4 linked regions of the Arabidopsis thaliana genome follow. The protein of the gene in region 3 purifies or fractionates together with the protein of the main gene of each other region. This does not show direct contact. Each region holds a gene or a part of one and is shown on either strand. Other genes may lie near its edges.

Evidence for each region.
Region 1: the proteins of mtLPD1 (region 3) and ALAAT2 fractionate together in Arabidopsis thaliana (co-fractionation; one large-scale study listed by BioGRID). This does not show direct contact.
Region 2: the proteins of mtLPD1 (region 3) and LTA3 purify together in Arabidopsis thaliana (affinity purification with mass spectrometry, with the first as the bait; one large-scale study listed by BioGRID). This does not show direct contact.
Region 4: the proteins of mtLPD1 (region 3) and IAR4 purify together in Arabidopsis thaliana (affinity purification with mass spectrometry, with the first as the bait; one large-scale study listed by BioGRID). This does not show direct contact.

What each region holds. Positions count from the first base shown.
Region 1 is NC_003070.9:27,231,788-27,237,298, reverse strand, and holds ALAAT2 (alanine aminotransferase 2), read right to left. Parts: upstream 3,825-5,511; 5' UTR 3,663-3,824; coding exon 3,450-3,662; intron 3,187-3,449; coding exon 3,136-3,186; intron 3,033-3,135; coding exon 2,982-3,032; intron 2,865-2,981; coding exon 2,799-2,864; intron 2,721-2,798; coding exon 2,659-2,720; intron 2,570-2,658; coding exon 2,491-2,569; intron 2,401-2,490; coding exon 2,257-2,400; intron 2,202-2,256; coding exon 2,091-2,201; intron 2,021-2,090; coding exon 1,883-2,020; intron 1,810-1,882; coding exon 1,614-1,809; intron 1,535-1,613; coding exon 1,380-1,534; intron 1,295-1,379; coding exon 1,220-1,294; intron 1,136-1,219; coding exon 932-1,135; intron 845-931; coding exon 728-844; 3' UTR 510-727; downstream 1-509. Other genes in the region: AT1G72340 (NagB/RpiA/CoA transferase-like superfamily protein), read right to left, coding at 1-482; PUM23 (pumilio 23), read left to right, coding at 4,719-4,972, 5,069-5,432.
Region 2 is NC_003074.8:19,358,428-19,366,208, forward strand, and holds the start of LTA3 (Dihydrolipoamide acetyltransferase, long form protein), read left to right. Parts: upstream 1-1,778; 5' UTR 1,779-1,889; coding exon 1,890-1,984; intron 1,985-2,367; coding exon 2,368-2,424; intron 2,425-2,581; coding exon 2,582-2,636; intron 2,637-2,717; coding exon 2,718-2,751; intron 2,752-2,900; coding exon 2,901-3,178; intron 3,179-3,272; coding exon 3,273-3,317; intron 3,318-3,485; coding exon 3,486-3,559; intron 3,560-3,698; coding exon 3,699-3,768; intron 3,769-4,182; coding exon 4,183-4,374; intron 4,375-4,470; coding exon 4,471-4,515; intron 4,516-4,621; coding exon 4,622-4,695; intron 4,696-5,002; coding exon 5,003-5,072; intron 5,073-5,327; coding exon 5,328-5,717; intron 5,718-5,800; coding exon 5,801-5,861; intron 5,862-5,934; coding exon 5,935-5,979; intron 5,980-6,064; coding exon 6,065-6,148; intron 6,149-6,531; coding exon 6,532-6,608; intron 6,609-6,678; coding exon 6,679-6,741; intron 6,742-6,879; coding exon 6,880-6,950; intron 6,951-7,048; and 8 more.
Region 3 is NC_003070.9:17,716,363-17,721,387, forward strand, and holds mtLPD1 (mitochondrial lipoamide dehydrogenase 1), read right to left. Parts: upstream 3,138-5,025; 5' UTR 2,780-3,137; coding exon 2,507-2,779; intron 2,321-2,506; coding exon 1,070-2,320; 3' UTR 1,059-1,069; exon of another isoform or gene 959-1,058; 3' UTR 531-958; downstream 1-530. Other genes in the region: PMEI1 (pectin methylesterase inhibitor 1), read right to left, coding at 1-402; AT1G48040 (Protein phosphatase 2C family protein), read right to left, coding at 3,702-4,682. UniProt on the Arabidopsis thaliana protein: Lipoamide dehydrogenase is a component of the glycine decarboxylase (GDC) or glycine cleavage system as well as of the alpha-ketoacid dehydrogenase complexes.
Region 4 is NC_003070.9:8,559,903-8,565,090, forward strand, and holds IAR4 (thiamine diphosphate-binding fold (THDP-binding) superfamily protein), read right to left. Parts: upstream 3,601-5,188; 5' UTR 3,481-3,600; coding exon 2,790-3,480; intron 2,707-2,789; coding exon 2,627-2,706; intron 2,230-2,626; coding exon 2,152-2,229; intron 1,607-2,151; coding exon 1,511-1,606; intron 1,418-1,510; coding exon 1,346-1,417; intron 1,239-1,345; coding exon 1,185-1,238; intron 1,103-1,184; coding exon 1,037-1,102; intron 920-1,036; coding exon 875-919; 3' UTR 518-874; downstream 1-517. Other genes in the region: SNL3 (SIN3-like 3), read right to left, coding at 3,804-3,884, 4,001-4,084, 4,184-4,286, 4,380-4,546, 4,640-4,792, 4,884-5,022, 5,111-5,188. UniProt on the Arabidopsis thaliana protein: The pyruvate dehydrogenase complex catalyzes the overall conversion of pyruvate to acetyl-CoA and CO(2).

The sequences.
Region 1 (5,511 bases), 9.5 Mb from region 3:
AGTGTATCAGAAGCCTTTTTGAGCTCAATTTCAAGCTCCATCATGGTGCTCGCTTCGCTCGCACGAATAACAGCAGCCAAAGCTCGTATAGCCGCGACGGCTTCAGCCAGATCCGGTTGTTTTCTCCAGTTATTGAACTCTTCAATTACATTAAACGACTTCTCGTTCCCGAGATCAGTTACGGATAAGTCATGCTGGGCATCGCCTGAGACGCCGCCAACGGCGGCTTGAGCTTGGGCTAGCCAGTCGCTTGTAATGACACCGTGATGCGCCGCGCGAGTTTGGTAATAAGCGGAGATGGAATCAGGGTTTTGAAAAGGACCTCGTGTTGTATCCGCCATTGGAGGTGAATTCGAGCTTCGTCGCTCGTCGAGAATAAACGACGGTGATCTTCTCCACATTGATTTTTTTTTTTCTTGAGAAAATTCTTCAAAATGGAAAAATTGAAGATAATATACTGTCGCTTTCTCCAGAAATATCATATGAAAAATAAATATAAGGCCCATTAATAATATAAGGCCCATTTATAAGCCCAATAAATTTACTAATTTTCATATCTTCATATGACATGCCATGGAATGGAAGTACAAAATATTCTAAAATTAAATTAGCTGATCACAATTGCCTGATCAAATTCAAAACACAAGTTTTCTTTTTTTTAATAACTCAAACTGATCACACTTTTCTTCAAAAGGGTCTTTAAGTTCATCTTCATGGTCAGGTCCTTTTAGTTGCGGAACTCGTCCATGAAGCTCTTGTGGAACTCTGTCAGACGATTCACTATCGCTGGAATCTTGTCTTCTTGTGGAAGTATTGTGCATCTAAAGTGCCATGTTCCAGGAACCTAAACCACAATGAATCCAAAACCCATTATTCAAGTTCGATCCTTTTGTAAGACATTTAAAGTTATGAAGATTTGGTTATATTTTACCTGTCCAAAGCCAGAACCAGGGACTACAACTACACCAGTAGCATTGAGAAGGCGTTTGCAGTAGAACGCATCTGGTGCAGTTTTTTCAGCCTCAGCAGCTTCGATAGCCTTTTGAGGAAGGTTAATTCGCGGGAAGAGATACATTGCTCCTTCGGCTCTGTTACATGTAACACCTTCTAAACTGTTGAGAGCGTCTTCCAAAGTCTGCAAGTTCATTTTCAAGCTTGTGACATTATATACAAAGAGACTGAAAAATGTCGTTAGAGGGTATTGTAATCTTCGACTAACCTTTGCACGTTTAGCCATGGATGAGAGAATTCCATCTCTTTCTGCCATGTATGAGTCATATGAGTCATCACCAGGCTGATCAAATACAATATTAGACTTTTTAGTCATAATCTGTTGCAAGAACTTAGCGAAAACCGATTAGAGAGAACTAGGGTGTTACCTTGGGTGGGCTCATGACAAGGCTAGCAAGAATTTGACCAGAGATGTTAGAACAAAGATTCACAGAAGCCATTTTGTATATCTGTTCTCTTACATCAGAAGTGAATCCAGTAACCTCCATGTAACCTCCTCTTTTTCCACATTCTCCATAATATCCTATCAACAGAAGAATATTAAAAACAAAAACCCCATTTTTTAGATGACAAGCATTGGACAGTAAAAGTTGTTCTTTTACCTTTGGAGACTGATTGGAACGAGACTAACGAGATATCTTTTTCTCCATAGCCCAAAGACCGAGCCACTTTCTTGAAAGAATGGAACTTTTTGTCAGGGACGTAAACATTTTCTTGGTAGACTTCATCAGCTAAAAGAACCAAACCCTCTTGCTTGCAGAAATTAACAATGTCACGCTGGTTTTCTTCCGCAAGAACCTAACCAGAATAAGAACGCAAGATTAGAAGAATGTTACATTTTGTTAGGCTAGTCTTGAAAATCTGTTTGTACCTGCCCAGTTGGGTTACCGGGGTTTATGACAACCAAGGCCCTTACAGAGATGCCCTTGGACCTAGCTTCCTCTAGTTGCTTCTTAAGGTCAGATATTTCCAGTCCCCATCCTGTTGCTTCATCAAGATAGTACGGAACCTAAGAAGTACAAATTTCAAAAACTTGTACCAAAAAACAACATTACTCCATGATGATTATATGAACATACCAAAGATCCACCATGAAGGGCAATTGAAGCCGAGTACAATGGATACTGAGGAATCGGGGAAAGAATACCATCTTTCTCTGAGCTCAAGAGAAGTTGCATCATCATGTGAACCTATAGAGTAAAAAACACCAAAAACACTTAGCATGAATCCTTTAAAAGAACTTACTCTAACTCTATGAGATAACGTTTTCGTTTTGATTGTTACCGCTGGACTTGCACCATCAGTCAAGAAAATATCATTTGGATCAGCAGGGAAACCATCACGTGCTTCGATTCCAGCTGCAATTACATCACGTAAACCCTTGATACCCTGAGGCAGAACAAAAAATGAAACATTCAGCAACATAAGAACCATCTCAAGAAAGGGTTTAGGACTTTTAACTAGACTCTAATAACAAACCTGGCTATGACTGTAAGCCCCAGTTGCTCTTCCGGGAATATGGTCCAAAATCCTCCATGCTCGGTCAATTGAATCGGTACTGATAGCAGAGTAGAAATCAAATGTTAAGCAATCTTAAACCGTGAGCATACATGTCCTAAAGCTGAAATATAGCAAGGAAAACCTCACCTGAACAAACCATGGGTTTCAGACTCATCCAAAAGACTTGCGTGGTCACACAATGCGAGAACCTGAGGCATATAGATGATAGACGTTATATCTCTGTGGCTGATATGACAACCAAACTAGTACCAAAAACATTCACTTACCTCACGGAAGAACTTTATAGGCAGCTGACCAAGAGATTGAGGATTCCCAATGTTGCAATAGATTATCTGCCAAAAGTAATGAAGAATTCTAAGTTCCTTGCACAAAGAGTTTGAGAACAGGTAACATCAACACTAAACTAATCATAAATCCGTCAAAACTGCCGATAAAGAAAGAGATTTTACCTCATCAAAGGGATAAGCATCCTTATTAGTCTTCAAGTCTTCTTGTAACTTCTGTAAGATGGAAGCAAAAAGCAAACAAAAATCAATTAGCATTAAAAACAATTTTACAGATTTTGTTCTTGGTTTTACAAGACAAAGCACATGCATCTCTGACCTGAGCAATGTTGACAATTTCTCCTCGAACAGCATACTCACATTTCAGAACCTGTTCCCCGGAAAAGAAAAAAAACTCTTAGTTAACAATAAAACCAACTTCTCTGTAATATAAAGTACAAAGAAGTTATGCAAAGCTTGTCGATTTCATCGTTGGGAATCACAACGAGAAGCAAAGGATAAACCTTTGGCGTTAAATCAGACAACCACAGTAAAAAATTGAAACTTTTTTACTAAATTAGAAACAAATCCAGATCAACCCTGAAACCCACAATTCAAAAACGCAATAAACCAGCTAGAGAATTAGAAACCGACCTTGGGATTGATGGAGTCAAGAGTAACGGGAAGAGAAGAAGTGGAATCAGAAGCAGACATCTCCGAAGTAGAAGAGAAGAAACGAGACAGAGCAGGAGGAGAAGAAGCAAGGGGACGAGGTTGAGGAGAGAGAAAGCTTGGACTTTTGTGGTGATGTTGACGACGAGAATGGTCGACGAGACCTTTAGCTTGGTTAATCAAGAATCTCCGCATCTGTGAATCAGCTTTATACTAGGAACGTGCTCTTTAAGCCCTAGGATTGAAAATTCTCTCACGAGGAAACAAGGGTCCCAATATCCAGTGCCTTGCACACCGAATTTTGCCTTGTCCTCCACGCTCAGAAATTGCTTTTTCGTTTTTTCTTTTCGAAAATCTAATTGATGAAGATATTTGTAGGGGTTTTTTTTAGGCGGCTAATTTTGTTGATTTATCTGTTAAACACACGACTAATCCCAAAAAAAGACATGTCTTTTATCAAAAAAAGATGTCTGAAGTCTATCTTCCGTTGACTTAATTATCCAAAAGGACCAAAATTGAATAATCCAATCACAGTCGTAATCTAATTTGGGGATAAATAGATACTTATAAAACCTACAGCTAATTTGAAAGTTATAAATTTTTAGAAATCTCTAAATTTAAATAAATCACAACAACATGTAGCAGCACATTGCTAACGATGAGGTTTTTTTTGGGCTACATAATTGGGCCCTAAAAAGGTCGGTAAAATCGTGATTTAAAGCCCATTATTTGTTTATATCCACGTCAACAAAACGATATCGTATTAGGTTGGACGAGAATAAAACCCTAGGAATTAGAAAATTTGTACAACGTCAAAACATCGAAGATTTTGATCCAACGTATACCAAGAGTTTCGGAGACGACGTCGTTTTGTCTCTGCGCCGCGTTCTTAGTCTGAGCTCACGCTTGTTCGTTTCTCCTCTAACGTCAACTGTGTTTTTGCATCCTCAAAGGTTTGTGATACACCTTATTGTTTCTGTTCTTTTGTACAAGCTTCACATGGATTAGTGTAAAGTCTTAGAATTGGGACTCGGAATTTATTGTTATGTTTTAGGTTATTCAACCCAGTTATGGTATCGTTTTGAAGTAGAGGTAGAAACCCTAATTTTTGGGGTCTGTAAATTTGGAGAAAAAATTGAACCTTTCCCTTTTTTGTTATATTGTGTAATTTGGGACTAATAGTTCTTCGAAGCTGAGTTTTTTTGTGTGTAAATTTTGTAGGGTTTAACATAGTTGGGGCTAGGAATTTTCATGGTTTCTGTTGGTTCTAAATCATTGCCATCTAGGAGGCACAGGACCATTGAGGAAGATAGCTTGATGGGTGAACGAGGAAAGTCTAGTAACAATCACAGTGAAAGGAATAAGGGAATGCGTAGGAAGGACCATAAGGGTAACCGTGGATTTGATGTAGATAGCAGCAAGAAGAACCAATCCGGTGGTGCCCCCAATGTAAAGCCAGCATCAAAGAAACACTCCGAATTCGAACATCAGAATCAATTTGTCAGGTAAAGGAGATTTTTAACCAAGGGCCTTTGCTCTAATTTATAGTCGAAATTTTGTTGTTGTGAGAAGTGGTAGTGATTTGGGTGTATCTTTTTCAGGAAAGAGATTGATCCAGAGACTTCAAAGTATTTCTCTGAGATTGCCAATCTCTTTGATAGTAATGAAGTTGAATTAGAGGAACGTTCAGTAATATGTGGAAATGCCCTTGAAGAAACAAGAGGGAGGGAGTATGAAATTGCTACAGACTATATCATAAGTCATGTCTTGCAAACTCTACTTGAGGGATGTGAACTTGACCAACTCTGCAGTTTCATACGAAATTCTGCTAGTGTGTTCCCAGCCATTGCAATGGATAGATCTGGTTCTCATGTCGCAGAGTCTGCTCTCAAATCCTTGGCCACACATCTAGAAAATCCAGACGCCTATTCTGTTATTGAGGAGGCTTTGCATTCTATATGCAAGGTACTTTATACAATTTTTACTGGCTTTGACAATCATATTAAGGTATCCAGATTATTGCTTCTAGTCTAGTAATTGACCT
Region 2 (7,781 bases), on a different chromosome or scaffold from region 3:
TTTCCCTACACGATTATATACTAATCTATTTATAAAATTAATTTTTCATGTATAAATATCGATAATATGTAACATATCATAACATTTAAATTCAAAAAAAGAATGTATCATAACATTAATTTTCGGTGCTATGCACCGGGTATAATACTAGTTACAAATAAAGTATAAAAGGAATTAAACTTTTATATAGATAATTAACACAAACAAAATATTAGAGACGATTTCAAATAAATTATGAGGATATAGATGAGAAAAATACTATATAGAATAACAATAGTAAGAAATTAAAAATAAATAAATCAATTTGTACATATAAATTAGAAAGAAAAATATAGATAAATAATTAAACAATATTAATAGTATCACATAGGTCAATTAAAATTTTATATACAATAGTTAAAGAGTATTATATCTCAAAACTAAGTTTTGATACTGCGTAGAACAAATCATGTTTCAAGCAAAAATGATCAAATTCCTATGATGCTGGAAATGCTTGACGATCCACATGAGACTGGCTATGTGCATGTATGGAGAAAAACGTGTTGTTCGACAACGCGTGCATGCCTTCTTCCACCTAAGTGACGACGCATCACAAAAAGTTATCTAGTAGTGTTAATAGTTCATGTTCCATCTGCCGAAATTACACACAATATAACGTATTCGATTATTTGTTATCCAACAACTTAAACGATTCGACCAACTCACTCAACCTTTTGTCACTAGTTCCAGTCATATATTTCTTATAAATACTCGTTCACTACATCTGTACAGATCGAAAGAATCTCTTGATATATTACAACACACCCATAATTCATAAAGACTAGCTCATATACCTTTGATATATGAGATTTGATCTATATGTCGTTCTCCTTAACTAGATATCGCTAATTGGGCTTGCATTCAACAAGCAACATATATCGCTTATTACATTCGACGATACTCAGCTTCTACATCTTAAGTCTCTCTTTTTTTCTGAGCTCACCATCAAGTATAAGAACACAATTCTACCTCTTATTTGTCTACTCCCAATTTTTTGTTTTTGGTTTTTCACTATTCTGACATCTTATCGTATTATGATTAACGTTAAGAATGTCGTCTCGAAAATCACCTACCTAGCTATTGTTTCAAGATTCGACTCCCATGCGCGTCCCATCAAGAACAAACCATCCAGAAGCATCAACCTCCAACTATTAGAGAATAATGTCCCATTCGCCCCTCGCTGGTCAAATCGCTTCCATTTGATTCACATAAGTCCAACAACAACGATGATCTCTGGTGTACTACTACCAAAACTCAACCTTGAGACAGATTCTCAAAATACTATATGTTCTATTAACTATTTTAACTTGAATCAAGTTGATAATTGTAGAGAGAAATTTTTTGTTCACTTCTTATTAATTTGTAAAACATTTATTTTAAAACCCATTACCGTTAAGCTTTGATACAATGATACATGTTATTTTCTGATTAAAAATGGTTATAAACTTGAACGGTATAAGACTTTAGTGTATAGAGAACAATTTAGAGAATCTGTATTTATGTAACCGCGACCTTTCGGAAACGTAGAAGGTGGTCGCACAAACAAACCAATCAAACCCTTAATCGATGGCACTCTTTTAATGTCTAATAAACTTCGGTTCGTCACTCGACCGGACAATTAAATATGTGATTAAAAGTGTGAATTTCCGGTTCGGTAGAGATTACTGGTATTTGTTAATCCGGGCCGGACCGGGCCGTATCTGAATTATGAACACTTTCCTAATGTCATAGAATCGTTCGTGCCGTCGTCGCTGCGATCTGACCAAAATCAAAAGTGTTACGATTCGGTATCATCGTCTCTCTCATTTGTGATTTTGTCAAACCCTGCTCTCTTTTCTCCAAGTGCTCTCATGGTGCTTCCGCTCTTCCGGCGCGCTGCGATCGCCCGGACTTCCTCGCTTCTCAGAGCTCGTCTTTTCGCTCCTGCCTCCGAATTCCATTCTCGGTACGCTTATTCTCTCTATCTAGTCCCGCCTCTTTCAAAGTATTTTGATGTTGCTCTTCTTCCATGTGTGATCCTTTGCAATTCGATGACTGAACTGTTTCTTAGTTCGATTTCATTTTCCTTTTCCGCAATCATCCATTGACTTTTTTTGGAGTTCTTATTACGTATTGTATAGTGATGTTTAAGAATGCCAAATTTGGTTTTGTTGGAACAATTGAACTATCCATTTTTTCTTATCGAACTGGTAGTACGGGTTTATCTTCTCTAGTTTGTGAGATGTAATTTCCATTTTACGTCACTCGCAGTGAAGAACAAGTGTGTCCTTAAACTGGTGTGATCTCTTTACCTTTCCAATACATTTGACAATGAACTTTCTTATTCAGCTTTTCTAATGGACTATACCACTTGGACGACAAAATTAGTAGCAGTAATGGTGTGAGGTATGTGTTCCATATCACAAATTGAGGACAAGATTTATTTTTATAGAAAAAGTCAGTGTGATCGTAGGCATTCAAAGTTTAAGGTTATAATTTAGTTCGTTTCGTATGTGTTAGATTGTTAGTCTAGTTTGAGATTTTGTCTGTTCTACATTTTCAGGTCTGCCTCTATAGACTTGATTACAAGAATGGATGATAGTTCTCCAAAGCCCATTGTAAGTGAACAGCTAGTACTGTTTCTTTTCTTTTTTCACTTTCATCTATCCGTGTTTCTCACATACATTGTTTTCTTGTAGCTGCGATTTGGCGTGCAAAACTTTTCATCTACAGGTATTCATTGATTGTTATGTCATCTTATGGAATAATGATCTTCATAAATGAGTCAACCAAGCAATTCCATTATAGAATTACTAAACGAGTTGATTATGGGACTTTCATCTGATTTGAGCAACCTGTCGGCAATTGTTAAATTGTTTTAGCCATAAGACTTACCAACACAGATGTTAAGTGGGTGATAAGAATAATTAATGGAAACTTTCGCTTAACTTGTAGAAAAATAGAAATGTTAATTGATGCAGGTGCAAAAACTTCCATATCACTCTTTTCTCTGATGTTTGTGCTTCCATCATACCTTAGATACAGCGACAGGAGATGCAATCAATTATACAAGATTCTTCCATTAAATTATTATTTTCTTTGGGTTGTAGGACCCATATCACAGACGGTTCTTGCAATGCCAGCCTTGTCTCCTACTATGGTAGGAAATTTGACTTCAATCTTGTAAAGAATTTTGGCCTCCTCCAAGACATTTGGACTTCAATCATTGTTTTATGTTTGTTGGGCTTTTGCAGAGTCATGGAAATGTTGTAAAATGGATGAAGAAAGAAGGTGACAAGGTGGGTTATTTCTTATTTTTGGTTGACAAAATTTCAGTCGACTTTTATGATTTTGTCTACTAATGATCATTATACAAGAAAGACGATAAATTGATAATTTAGCTGGCAAAGAAAATATAGAATGTGGAAATTCTCAGTAACAGGTATGAATTTGGTTCTTCCTGACAGGTAGAGGTGGGTGATGTACTATGTGAGATAGAGACAGACAAAGCCACTGTAGAATTTGAGAGTCAAGAGGAAGGGTAATTTTGAAAAAGACGGTTCATGATTTTATGTTTTGATTTGTATTTTTATTTCATTATACCTTGGTAATTCAAATATCTGACTCCCTATAAGTATATGAAAATGTCAATTGGCTTACTATGAAGCATGGTTCTGCAGATTTCTGGCCAAGATTTTAGTCACTGAAGGATCAAAGGATATCCCTGTTAATGAACCGATTGCAATAATGGTAAGCACAGTGGCTGTCTTATACATTTATAGAAACCAAGTATGATCTCACAAAAGGTGATGCATGCATCAACATACGCTTATTAGGAGTTCCTGTTTGTTTATCTAGTCTGCTCTTGGCCTCTTTCACTTTCTTTCGTTTCCTGGGTTTACATTCTGGAAGACTTGACAAATCATAGAGATGTATGGTATTTCGTTGTCAATATTTATTGTGGAAAAATGTCCAAGATCCAATCTCATGCTCTCTTCTTCTAAATATTTCCGTTTGCCATACTGAGTTGTCATGTTATGTCCCCAAACATGATATATCGTAGGGTTTAGGGTGTAGCGTATATTGGTTACAGTTTTGGTCAACATCTTGCTACATAAGGTTGATGGATAAGAGTTTAATCTTATCTATTTAATTGTAACCAAGGTTGAGGAGGAAGACGACATTAAAAACGTTCCTGCTACCATAGAGGGTGGACGAGATGGTAAAGAGGAAACATCAGCTCATCAAGTGATGAAACCTGACGAAAGCACACAACAAAAAAGTTCCATTCAGCCCGATGCATCAGATCTTCCCCCACATGTCGTCTTAGAAATGCCAGCACTTTCTCCTACAATGGTATGAAATTTCATATTTTATGCTAGCTTTTTTTGGAGGAGAAGGCATTCAGCTTTCTATCCTAAGACTCTGAATTATTTGTTTATTGATGTGCAGAACCAAGGTAATATTGCCAAATGGTGGAAAAAAGAGGGTGACAAGGTTAGTTTCTGGTGACCCGATGAGTAAATTGGCATTGTAATTTCACCACAAGAAATCTGATGTTTATGCACTTGCCTGTGTTGATTCTTCTCATTTCATGAAACAGATTGAAGTGGGTGATGTCATAGGTGAGATCGAGACTGACAAAGCCACTCTGGAATTTGAAAGCCTTGAAGAGGGGTATAACTAACATCTTGTCGTCTTATTTCTTTTTCTAGGCAGTATGTTGATGTTCATTCTATATAGCATTCACTATCTGTGGATATTGCTTCTTTTCTTGTTTGGTTAAGTGAGAAGTAAATGTTAATTGCAAAAAGTAAGGTCTCTCCAAGTGTTCCCCCTTGAACTGATAGTGATTTAAAAGGTTGATTTCATGTTTCGTAGTTTTCATATGAGTATGGGCTTCCTCTACAAAAACTGATTTCCTGGATCAAATGAGTGAAGTTATATAATAGATTCTATAACTTGATGGATGACTTTTGTGTAGGTACTTAGCTAAGATTCTAATTCCTGAAGGTTCCAAGGATGTGGCGGTGGGAAAGCCGATTGCCCTAATAGTAAGTCTTTTAGTTCAAAAGTACATTGACTGAATTCTTTATGCCAGAAAACTGTATTACGACTGGTATATTTAATCCATTTGTTTTACTAGCCTGTGTGTAATGCATTTTGTGCATAAATTGGTCGACACTCTTCTAGTTCCATGCTACGTTATATATTGCCTGAAGTAAAAGTTATGCCTGCACAAAAAATCTTTGAAAATACAATTGCTTGCAGATTGGGGGATATAATAAGCTAATCGTTCTTCTCTGTAGGTTGAAGATGCTGAAAGTATTGAAGCCATCAAGTCTTCTTCCGCAGGTAGTTCTGAGGTTGATACAGTTAAAGAAGTCCCTGACAGTGTTGTAGATAAACCTACAGAGAGGAAAGCAGGCTTCACAAAGATCAGTCCTGCTGCAAAGCTATTGATTTTAGAACATGGATTGGAGGCATCATCAATTGAGGCATCGGGTCCCTATGGTACATTATTGAAATCAGACGTTGTGGCCGCAATTGCTTCTGGAAAAGCTTCTAAATCATCTGCGTCTACGAAGAAGAAGCAACCATCAAAGGAGACCCCGTCTAAATCCTCCTCCACATCGAAGCCTTCTGTGACACAGTCAGATAATAATTATGAAGATTTTCCAAATAGTCAAATTCGCAAGGTAAATTAACATATTTATTACTCTCTATGTAGAATGATGAAATATGTCCTGCTGCATTCTGTTTTACTTTCCCCACTTGGCAGATTATAGCAAAACGTTTATTGGAATCAAAACAGAAGATACCCCATTTGTATTTACAATCAGGTTGGTGACTCACAACCTTTGTATTTTCTTTGTGTATTTTATTTGCTGTTTAAGCATTTTATTTTGCCTGCAGATGTTGTATTGGATCCTCTTCTTGCATTTAGAAAAGAACTTCAAGGTTTGTAGACTGCTCTTATCACACATCCTGGTATTTATTAACAACTTGAGAGGCTCAGAGTGAACTGTACTTTCATGATCTACAGAAAACCATGGCGTTAAAGTGTCTGTCAATGACATAGTTATTAAAGCAGTGGCAGTCGCACTGAGGAATGTACGACAAGCTAATGGTGAGAAATTATTTTCTCCTCGTAAATGATTTCATTAAAAATAACTAAACTATGGTTTGTTCCCATCCCTAACTATGCGCTAGATTAAAACCTTAGTTCATCCTCTTTAAGGAAACTCGGCTTCCATGTTGGATTATTCTTGCAATGCCGTTTACCTCCGTTGAGAGTATTTAGTAAAGATGTTTTGAGATTGTAATACTGTAACATTCAATATGACTGGTAATGCATTTTAGACTCGGTTTTAGTCGTTACAAGTAGGACATTTTTTGGTGTGAGTTTGATGTAATGATTTGTGGATTGGAATCGTGTGGTTGTTTTTTCTCTTCTGCTTTCTCAAACCTTTCTTATGGTTGCTTAAAGTTCTCTTTCTCAATGTCTGGCAGCTTTCTGGGATGCTGAGAAAGGAGATATCGTTATGTGTGACAGTGTTGACATATCAATTGCAGTTGCAACTGAGAAGGTACACTTGTGTGTTTGATTTTCTGATCATTTCAACAGTTTATCCCTCATCATCTTGGCATTTTTTGCAGGGCTTAATGACTCCAATTATCAAGAATGCAGACCAGAAATCTATTTCTGCTATTTCCTTAGAGGTAATTTTATTCTCTCTGAAGTTAAACGAATATGGAAGGCTATAGAGGCACATATGTTTGATCAGTTCTTACCATATTCCATGTGTTGTTGATCGCTATAGTTATGAATTTTAATATGTCAAATGATTTTTGGATCAGGTTAAGGAGCTGGCACAAAAGGCTCGATCTGGAAAGCTTGCTCCTCATGAGTTTCAAGGAGGGACATTCAGGTATTCATCATTTTTAAGTTATTAAGCATAGTACGGAATTATCAATCATGTGTAACTTTTCCTACTTAACGAGAAAACCATACTTTATCGTTTTGCAGCATATCAAATCTAGGAATGTATCCTGTGGATAATTTCTGCGCAATCATTAACCCCCCTCAGGTAATCATAGCCTTAACGATGCACCCTGAATCACAGATTGAAGATTAAGTTTTGCTGTTTGTAATTTGTGGTGTAGAGGATTTAGTTTAATATTTATAGAGATGCAGATGTGTTTTTTTGGATAATAAACTTCAGGACTATCAATTGTCTTGCAGGCTGGGATTCTAGCAGTTGGTAGAGGAAACAAAGTGGTTGAGCCAGTTATTGGACTAGATGGTGAGCTAGTAGAATCCTTTTGGGTTTTCAACTAGGGTTGCTATTCTGATCATGGTATGACAAGTTTTCGTCATTGTTTCAGGAATTGAGAAGCCTTCTGTTGTGACAAAAATGAATGTAACGTTATCCGCTGATCATCGGATCTTTGATGGACAAGTTGGAGGTAATGGAACATTCATAAATCCCTTCGTTTCGAGTTTTATGTTATGCTGCTGCCATATTTCACTGTGTTTCTCCTTTGTTACTCATTGCTTTTTCTATGAAACCGGCTTTGTTTCAGCTTCGTTTATGTCTGAATTGCGTTCAAACTTTGAGGATGTTCGAAGACTTCTTCTGTGAGAAAGATCCAACTGTTTACCAAATGAATCTTGGATTACTACATAATAAACCTCGGACCAACCCACGTGCACATCCAGAACCAGAACTGCTGGTCTACATTGTTAACTCTGATCACAT
Region 3 (5,025 bases):
TCCATCCAATGCAGCAGAAACTTTCATGTTCATCCCCATACCATCTCCTGAAGCTAAATGCTCAAAAGCTTCCTCGAGGTTTCCAATCGCGCTCTCGTATTCATCTACGCATGACCTGTAAGCTAACTTAGATCGAGGGTCGACTCCTCCATCGATAATAGATTGGAGTTTCTTTAACGTTTGTGTAGCTCTCGCTTGTGTAGAATCAAGTGTGGTTTTTGCCAAGGCTTGAAGATTAGGCGATGCGAATTTCGTATTGAGGAACTTAAGACAGAAAGATGGATTTAAGGTTTTGTCACAGATTGTGCTCATTTCTGAACTTGTGATTGCGTATGATGAACCGATCAAGAGAAGAAACATGAGAGAAGACAAGAACGCATTGTTCCTTAGATTCGCAGCCATTCTTGTTTTCTCTAGTAATTTTAGTTTTTCCAAGTTTGTGGTAGAAAATAATATTCAAAGCAATGAGTATTTATATTAGAGTAATTTACGTACAACGCATTAGTCAAAAACAGAATCAAGAATAGAAGTTGACATGAACGATGAAAAAAGTTTTTACCATTGTTAGAAGAATTGCAAATATAGTATACAGTTATCATTAGATGATAACATCAAATTGTATGTACTTATCTAATCATGGAGCTAATTGAATTAATTTTGGTCTCTTAGTGAATGCATAATGTATATCCCCTAATTATTAACGTATGAACTGACTAATCAATTTTTGGGTTTAGTGTAAACCAAAAACTAGAAAGCAAGCCGGAAGCAATAAAAAGTGTTGAGTGAATGTTGAATATTTTATTAAAGATCAGGCTTAACACGTATCTGAACATTAACGAATAAAAACACAGTATAAAGGACAAATTGAAGGCTAAACCACAGAAAACCGAACCAAAATCCAACCAGGTTAAGATATCGATTTGGCTTGTCATAGGTGGCTCACTCCTTTAAGGTCTTCCTAGTGTGGGATGTGATTAGATACATAAGAAATCAAAACCGCAAATCAAAAATCTAAACCAAAACCGAACAAAACCAAATCAGACCAAAGTGTGACATACCTTGTTCCCTTTTAGATGTGAATAGGCTTGTCATAGGTGGCCATGGCAGCTTCCTTAAGAGCCTCGCTCATAGTGGGATGAGCATGGCAGACTCGAGCAATGTCTTCACTTGATGCATCGTAGTTAATCGCAAGAACAGCCTCATGAATCAGCTCTCCAGCGTTTGGCGCCATAATGTGAACGCCCAAGATCTTATCAGTCTCCTTATCGGCCAGAATCTTAACCAATCCTTCTGCATTATCAATAGCCTTAGCTCTGCTATTCGCCATAAACGGGAATTTCCCAACCCGGTAACTCACACCTTCTTTCTTCAGCTGTTCTTCGGTTTTACCAACCGAAGCAACCTCAGGATGAGTGTAAACAACACCAGGAACCTTGTCATAATCAACATGACCGTGTTTGCCTGCTATGAACTCCACACAAGCAACACCGTCTTCTTCGGCTTTGTGAGCAAGCATTGGTCCTGGAATCACATCTCCAATAGCATACACGCCTGGGACATTACTCAAGAATCTATCATTCACCAGAATCCTCCCGGCTTTGTCAGTTTCCACTCCGATTTTCTCCAGATCAAGTCCAGAAGTGAACGGTGTTCTTCCCGCTGAGACAAGTACCACATCAGCTTCCAGAATAGACTGCTCTCCTCCTTCTGCCGGTTCCACTGTAAGCTTCACACCATCAGAGGAGGAATCCACAGAAACAACTTTAGTCTTGAGCATGAACTTCATCTTCTGCTTCTCAAGAGAACGTTGAAACTGCTTACGAATTTCACCATCCATCGAAGGAACAATATCTCCAGCAAACTCAACAACCGTAACCTCAGATCCAAGCCTACCCCAAACAGAACCCATCTCAAGCCCAATATACCCCGCACCAATAACAATCAATTTCTTCGGAACTTCCGATAGAGACAACGCTCCAGTCGACGAAACAATCTTCTTTTCATCAATCGTAATACCAGGCAAGGACTTAACATCCGAGCCAGTAGCAACAATGATATGTTTACCTTTCACAATAGTGTTTCCTCCATCAATAGTCTCCACCGAGACTTCATTTGGGGAAATAAACTTACCATATCCTTTGACATAAGTCACCTTATTTTTCTTGAACAAACCCTCAATACCACGAGTGAGGTTCTTAACCGCATTATCTTTCTGAGCCAACATAGCAGGAAGATCTACCTCAACAGAAGAGACCTTAATACCATGGTTAGCGAAGGAATGCTTCGCCTCATGGTACATATGTGAAGAGTGAAGCAGAGCCTAATACATCAATAAACACAACCAAGAATTTAGTAATTATGGAATAACTGTGCTTAAGCAAATGATAATCATCACAAAAGACAGTAATTAACTCTCAAAAGAATCATCCACAAAAGGAACAGATCAAAATCGTCAACTATGATCAACAAATTGATTGAAGAAACGAGAGATGATTCGAAATTTGACCTTGGAAGGAATGCAACCGACGTTGAGACAAGTACCACCGAGAGCGCCGCGTTTCTCGATACAAGTGGTTTTGAGACCAAGCTGAGAGGCTTTGATCGCGGCTACGTAACCACCGGGACCGCCGCCGATGATGACGACGTCGTTTTCATCAGATCCTGATGAGGCGAAGCCACGGGAGAGGGAAAAGGAGAATCTGAGAGCGTCAGTGGGAGAGTTTGATAAGTTTCTGGTGAGAAAATACGCCTTCCTCCTAGCTAAACTCGCCATCGCCATTGTTGTTTTAGAGAGAAAGAGAGACTTGGCTCCTTGTAGAGATGAACAGAGCCGGCAAATGTAAAGAGGAGAGGCTCTCTTAGAACCCTTTTTCTCTTTTTAATCACAAATATTTTAATATTTCCTTAATTGACCAAAAATATAGATAAGTAAATAAATCATTTATATGAATGAATACTTGAATTTCTAATCTCAATTATGTACACTAAATATTTGAAATTGATTACAAAGTTACCTTAATGCACACTTGATTTATTATTATTTTCTTGTCAACATTTGAATTACTTTTATAAGTTCTAGACTTCTAATTCATATGTAAAGAAATACACCAAAAAATATTTATGTATATGTAATGAAAAATACTGTATTGTAAAAATTATCAAAAAATATACTCATCAGAAATATATGGACATGAAGATTGTTGGAGGAGAAGAAGATAAAGAGATAAAGATAGAGATGATGAGAAGCAAGTAAGGACAGGATTTGAGGCTTTTGAGATAAACCTCCAAAACCTTTCACAGTCAGAAAGAAACTCTCTGAATTCCACATATATGGGAGAGAGATTCTTAAACCAACCTCCAAAATCTAGATTCAAAATAGTTAAAATTAAAATTCCTTAAAACAATCAATAATGGGTACAACATCACTAATCCTCAAGAACAAAAATGAAATCCTCTTAATCAGTTTCAATAATCCTACCAAAACTTCAGGCTGGTTTTTCTCTCTATCTCTCTCTGAAACAAACCAAAAAAACAGATCAATCAAAAATGAGAAACCACATTACAAACAAGACCTTAACTCTCTATCACTCTCTACGTCTCTTATTTTATCTCATCGAATCGAATCTCAAATTAGAGAAATAATGGTTTGATCGGTAACACCCGATCCCTGTTGTTTGTACATACTGCCAAAAACACTGCTTTCACTCGCCTGCAAGCATTGCTTGTAACCGAGCTCGGGCTTCGTCAGAAACACAGAATCTTAATCTTCTTCTTTGCGGTTGTTTAGGTGAAGACGGAACTGAGGAGAAGCAGATCACTATAACCGTCATATTATCTGATGACTGAAGCCTCGCTGCTTCTTTTCCTAGTTCCATCGCACATTGTCTCGGGTCACCATGCCTCCTCAATCCTTGCCTTACATTACTCACTGCATTCTGGCTTGACAACACATCCCATATACCATCACATGCCAAAATCAAGAACTCGTCGTCCTCTGTTAGAATGATCTGTCCAATCTCTGGGTCTGAAATCAGTGGTGAAGAGGAGTCAGTGAAAGGATTCTTCAGTTCCCAATCTCCAATGGCACGCGTGACAGCTAGGACTCCGTTGAGGTATCCATCCTCAAAGTATCCTCCTAAATCTTCAATCCGCCTTCTTTCTGGCTCATATGTTGATCTGTGATCGAAAGACATATCAACAGCCACTCCTCTCCTACATAGCACTGCACGACAATCTCCAGCATTAGCAACAAGAAGATGTCGTCCGATTATGAGAGCGGTCAAAGCGGTTGTCCCGCATGAACCACTGACAATGGTTTCATCAGCCATGGCAAGATCAGCCAAAGCAAAAGCCTTTCGGTGAGAATTCTCCAGTTCTTCTAAGAAAAACGCGTCCACAATGGAGGGCATCTCTGGAAACACAGCATCTTGGAAAAACAATCTAGTCAAGTTCTCCTTCATGAAAATTGCTGCCTCAGGCCCACCATGACCATCAAACACACCATAAAAAGCACTTGGTACCGAGAAGTTGTAGGATCCAAGGTGAGCTGACAAATCATCTATGCAAATGTGTTCATCCTCCATGGTTTCTCGACTTCGAATGTCAGCAAAGCTCCCTGAACGTATAGTTGGGATAAAGTCACTGGCGGATTCTCCAATGGTAGTAGTTACACAACTCATGCCCTGTTACAACAAATGTACATAAGAAGGTTTGTTTAAGATTCCTGAACTTGGCACAATTAAAGAAACAGAACAGCCAGAACAGAGCATCAGAGTCGTTCCGCTAACAATGTAAAATTGATTCATGAACACCTAAACTAATTCTTCATGCAAAGGTATAAACTTTCCAAAGCACAACACTAATCTTATCATTTTCCATTGTCTACACGAACCTAATCGAAGAGGGTATGTAGGATTCAACATTATTATGCAATAGAGAACAAAAAGAAACCCAAAACTAATATAAGCCCTGATGCAGAATCGGATCATTATCAGAATTTCAAGCAACGGTCTAATCTCAAAATCA
Region 4 (5,188 bases), 9.2 Mb from region 3:
TTTTCAATAATACCATTCATGTATCACTTTCTCGAGTTTTTCTTAAGGACTTTTTCTCGGATATGAGAAGAGAACACGATGAAGATTCCGTTGAACATATTTGATTTGATGATATAGAGAGAATATTCTTGAATAAGTTAAAACACTGAACACTATATAATATATAAACTTGTTACTTGTCAAACTAATTATTTACCGAGTAAAAAACTAAGCAAAGGTTTGTTTGGTTTCTATTGGCTTACAGAGAGAACCAAATGCTTGGTTAACAAAGGAAAAAGCAATCAATCATCAATGTTCTTTTGTAGTGATTAGTTGTTGCAAGAAATCTAATCTAATTTAAGTATTAAGAAAGAGAGTGAGTGGCGTCATAGAGTTTACCTATTCAATAAGATTTGGTGTTGATGTGGGGGATGATGAGAAAGGGACTTGTAGAGTAGAAGCAAAGATTATTCAAGTTAGGTGGTGGAGACATAACTATTCATGTGGTTTTATTGGTACCGACGCAGAAGTTGGTTTTGCCTTTTTATTTTTATATATATTAGATAACGAATTTAACACGGGGTCTTGATGATTTTGTAATCACATGTCGACATTTTTCTACTTGAGACAAAGAAGCTGATGATCTTTCTCTTAACTACTCTCTGCTTATTTCTCTAACTTTATCTCACAGAGTGATATCCGAAGCTTCTTTTGCTTGGTGTCAAATTGAAGTGTGGGAAACAAAAGTTGGCAAACTGGTGAAGCAATGGCTTTACACTTGAAATGAAAATACAAAAAAAAAAAACCAGAAATATTTTTGGTAGCAAGTTAAAAAGATTTGTGTAGCCTTGCCTTCTGATTTATTGAACCAATCATCTCCTTGGGAAGCAAGATTCTATGGAAGTGTTACTTTGAGTTCTTTTCTGTCTGCTCCAAACGACTGCAAATTTCAATGGAGGAAAATGCGTAAATCTCTAGATTCATATGCCAACAACTACCAACGCCACAGGGTTACAAAAGAAATAAATAGATGTGAAAGAGTGGGATGTGATAGTACCTCAACTCCGCAGTCTTTCACGTACATGTTTGTGAATAGCTCAGATGCATCTGGTATCGGGCTCTCCTGAAACAAGTTAAACAGCAAGGAATTAGTTCGTGTTTTGATAAATAACAAGGACAAAGATAGAAACAATTAAGATTATTACCTTGGCCTGAGCTACGGCGTCATCTACTTCTTTCCTTATCTCTTTCTCCATGTCCTTTAATGTCAAAAGAATTTTGTCATTTCCATAGTCAAGTTTGATGGTTGTATGTATAATTTTTTTCAAGCTTTTTGTCTGGAATGGGAAGGTGGTGAACAGGGTACCTTAAGCTCTTTTTCGGTAGCTATGTCATGAGTTAAGAGCAACTTTCGCACCCTTTCAATTGGATCACGCACCTAAAGGTAACACCGATGAAAACTTTACAGATTAAAAAGTTTCAAATTGCATATGGTTGGAGCAGTAGTCTTACAAATGAACAAAGAACTAACCTGTCTCACGCCAGAGATTTCATCACGAGTACGGTAAGTGCTTCCTGGGTCAGACATAGAGTGACCGTGGTATCTGTAAGTGTCCATCTCAAGGATCTGCGCAAATAATGGCAATGGTATGTTGGTCATAATCACTAGGTAGAGAATGGATTATAAAAATACGATAAATGTCAACGCTATGTGATTGAATTCACAAGATCCAAAATGCTTGTCCCATTTGTGTTGGTGACAAAATGCAAAAAAGGAAAATTGGTTGGAAGCTGAAGTCAACATGGTATAATTTCACTTCATAAGTAGGTACACACCAAAAACTCCAAGAGATATTAGTGATATCTACTTATCTAGTACTTTTAATAGAAATCCTAGGAGCTTGTCAATCACGCCTGTCACACTCTCCCGGAAACAGCAAACAAATTAACAACATAGGTACTTAAGAAGTCTTGTTTTCTCCAAATAAACCTCGTTCAATCCAAATCTAGGCTAGGTAGAAGTTACCAGCTAACCATTCTCCCCAACCAAAGTAGCATCACACATGCAAGTAATAAATGATTCTACGAATTCTTAATTTGCATAAAATGCTAAGAGTCATATTGATTAGGTATCGATTTCATAAAACCAACAGGAGCAGCTGTAATACTTACAATAGGACCATTCTTGAGAGCATGCTCCTTGGCAAACTTGCACGCCTGTTTCACAGCCAGTGCATCCATACCATCCACCTAGAAAACAAAGCAAAAGATAATCATTCGTTAGCTTTAAGTTCACACTCTCACCAATCAGAAAAACAACGGATACAATTCTATTGGGTAAAGTAATAAAAAACTGAAGCAACTTCTGTAAAACAACAAAGATAGAGACTTTGGAGACAATTCCTTTTGGTAGTTCTCACAAAGTTACACTTGATCCGAACACACAACTGTGAAGGTTTGTCCTTTCTCATTCAATTTGTGTCTAAAACCCTATCCTCACTACCTAGCTGTTCCATAGTCGACCCAGTGGTCTAAAACACACAAGGAAACCCTGTATCAACTAAAAGCGTGCTATAGACAACTCAGTCTCATCAAAGCAAAAGCATTGTAAAGCTCAAGATCATGCCAAAAGACAACTCAGTCTCACCTTCAAGCCAGGAACATAATCTCCACGCTTGAAATAAGCCGGAGACTTAGCCGACCTCCATGTAGCCGTTCCCATTCCATCTAAACATCAAACAATCCAAATCAACACAAAAGTCTCAACAATTCCACCAAACAAATTACAATTAACCAAAAAATAAACTCACAATGGTTATTCTCGCAAACAAGAATCGCAGGCAAATCCCACAAAGCCGAAATGTTCAAGGCCTCAAACAACTGTCCCTGATTCGCAGCACCATCACCATACAAAGCAAAAGTCACAGCCTCATCCTTATTATACTTCTGAGCAAAAGCCAAACCACATCCCAATGGAATCTGAGCACCAACAATCCCATGTCCACCATAAAAGGAAGCATCTTTCTTATAGAAATGCATAGATCCTCCTTTACCATGAGAACAACCAGTTTTTCTCCCCATAAGCTCAGAGAAAGCATCAACAAGCTTCCCACCACGACCAATGAAAGTACAGTGATCACGATACGATGTGATAATCGCATCTTTTTTGGTAATCGCCGCTTCCATTCCCACCGCTAAAGCCTCTTGACCATCGTACAAATGACAGAACCCACGGATCAGCTTCGCCTTGTAAAGAGAATCTGCTGCGATCTCCATCCTCCTCATCCGAGCCATGTCACGGAAAAAGGCTAAGATCTCCTCCGATGAAGTCTCGACGGAGCGTGACGGTGATTCACATAGATGCGATGTGAAAGGGACGGCGGTTTCGATTGTGATCGGTGATGAGTCTGTGGAAACATGACGGCGGATGGAGGAGGGCAAGGCGGTAATCGCCGGCTTTAGGAAAGTGTTGGATCGTGAAGAAAGTCGTGATAACGCCATCGCCGAAGCTCTCCGATTTGCTTTTAGAAATTCTCTTTTTTGCAGTCAAAAATCGAATCTTTTTAAAGTGAGGGAAAGAGTTAGGAGAGGGCGAAGCGTCGTTTATGGAAAAGGTCAAACCTTTTATGGTCATTTGACTCATTTCTATATAACATACCATAACAAAATGAAATTTTTGATAAATGTTACAACAACATACAAAACTTTACAACAAGAGAGTGAATAAAGACAAACTTTACATATGTAACATCATTTTTGTGAGTGATTGTTTTCTTTTTCAGTCACAGACAACAAAAAGCCAAATCCTTTGTTGCTTCTTCTTCTTATGAAGATAGAGAATGCAGTTTGGCTCTATCCGGTGAAGTCAACAATGGAGAATTGCCACTTTTGTTTTTGTTTTGTCTCTGTTAAGTTGGAGAGTGAATGAACAAGTTGAGTTGATTTGGTATCCTTCTTCCAGATTGTTACAGGCTGGTCACAAGAAGTTATTTTTGTAATATTGTAACCTCATTTGCCTTACCCAAGAATCCTGATTGTGGCACAAAGTTTTTCTTCTCTTTTTAACTCGCACCAACAAATCTTCTGTTTCTAGTACATAGGAGACCTGCAAGAGATTTTCAAGAACGTGCTTTCAAGTGCTGGTCTCTCATGGATATACTCATAAGCGGTAAGCGTGATATAGGGAAGAAGATAAAAGTGTTACCTTTGAAGAACCGCAAGCTATCTTACACTCCAAACCATTTTTGATCTTAACTTCATCTGTGCTGTATAACTGTTCATCTTCACGACAAACTTTGCGCTTGTTCCTGGAGAAAACGAAAAATGGCATTGGCTTTGATGAGTGACCCACTAGGTTTCAGAGATCAAGGGACAGTCATTTGTTCATGTTTTACATTTACCTATTTAAATAGATTCTGCGATCCTCCCTTGCATTTGGTTGTATGGAGAGGAAGTCATTGTGGAGATAAGCTGCAAAGGTCGGGTCAATGGATACAGATGTCACATCGGGCTTATCAAGACCGTTGCACATAAGCTGAATAGAGAGTTTCGCTGGGGTTGATAATCTCTGCATACACATGAGGTTTTGGAGTCCAAAAGCATGATCAGCAGTGCATCGACAGAATATAAGTAGCTAATGTAAGATGCAGCAAAAACTTACACATTCAATACGGTAAATATTCTCATCAGGGAGGAGGACACGGGTATTATCGTAATACACAGCATCAAAAATCGTTTCAGGCCTTCTGGATTTCTCATAAAAATAAAGCTGAAGAAGCTTGTTGTCCATCTCATCAGCTACTACTACTTGTAGCTGAAGAATGACCACACGTATGTTAGTAAAAAGCAAGTAAAGATAGAGAGGTGAATACATAGAGAAAACATCAAAGAGCAAAAATACTCACATGCTTGATGAATTTATGGATCAGTTTGTCCAATGTGAAGAGAATATAAGACTGAGTCCCGATTATCGCTCGGCAGTCATCTTCAAACTTGGCATTATCAGATGTACCATCAAGTAAGTTGTAGAGTGCAGTCATGAATCTGTTCCACATTAATTAAAGTTATAAGTATGGAGCACATATGAATCCCAGAAACACACACAATCTCTGCAATAAAAAGCAAATTTCACCTAGCATAGGAATCAGTAGGATTTTTGGTATTTGAGGTCCTCCACTTTCCTTCCGGGGATGATGAGTTAACTTTTGCT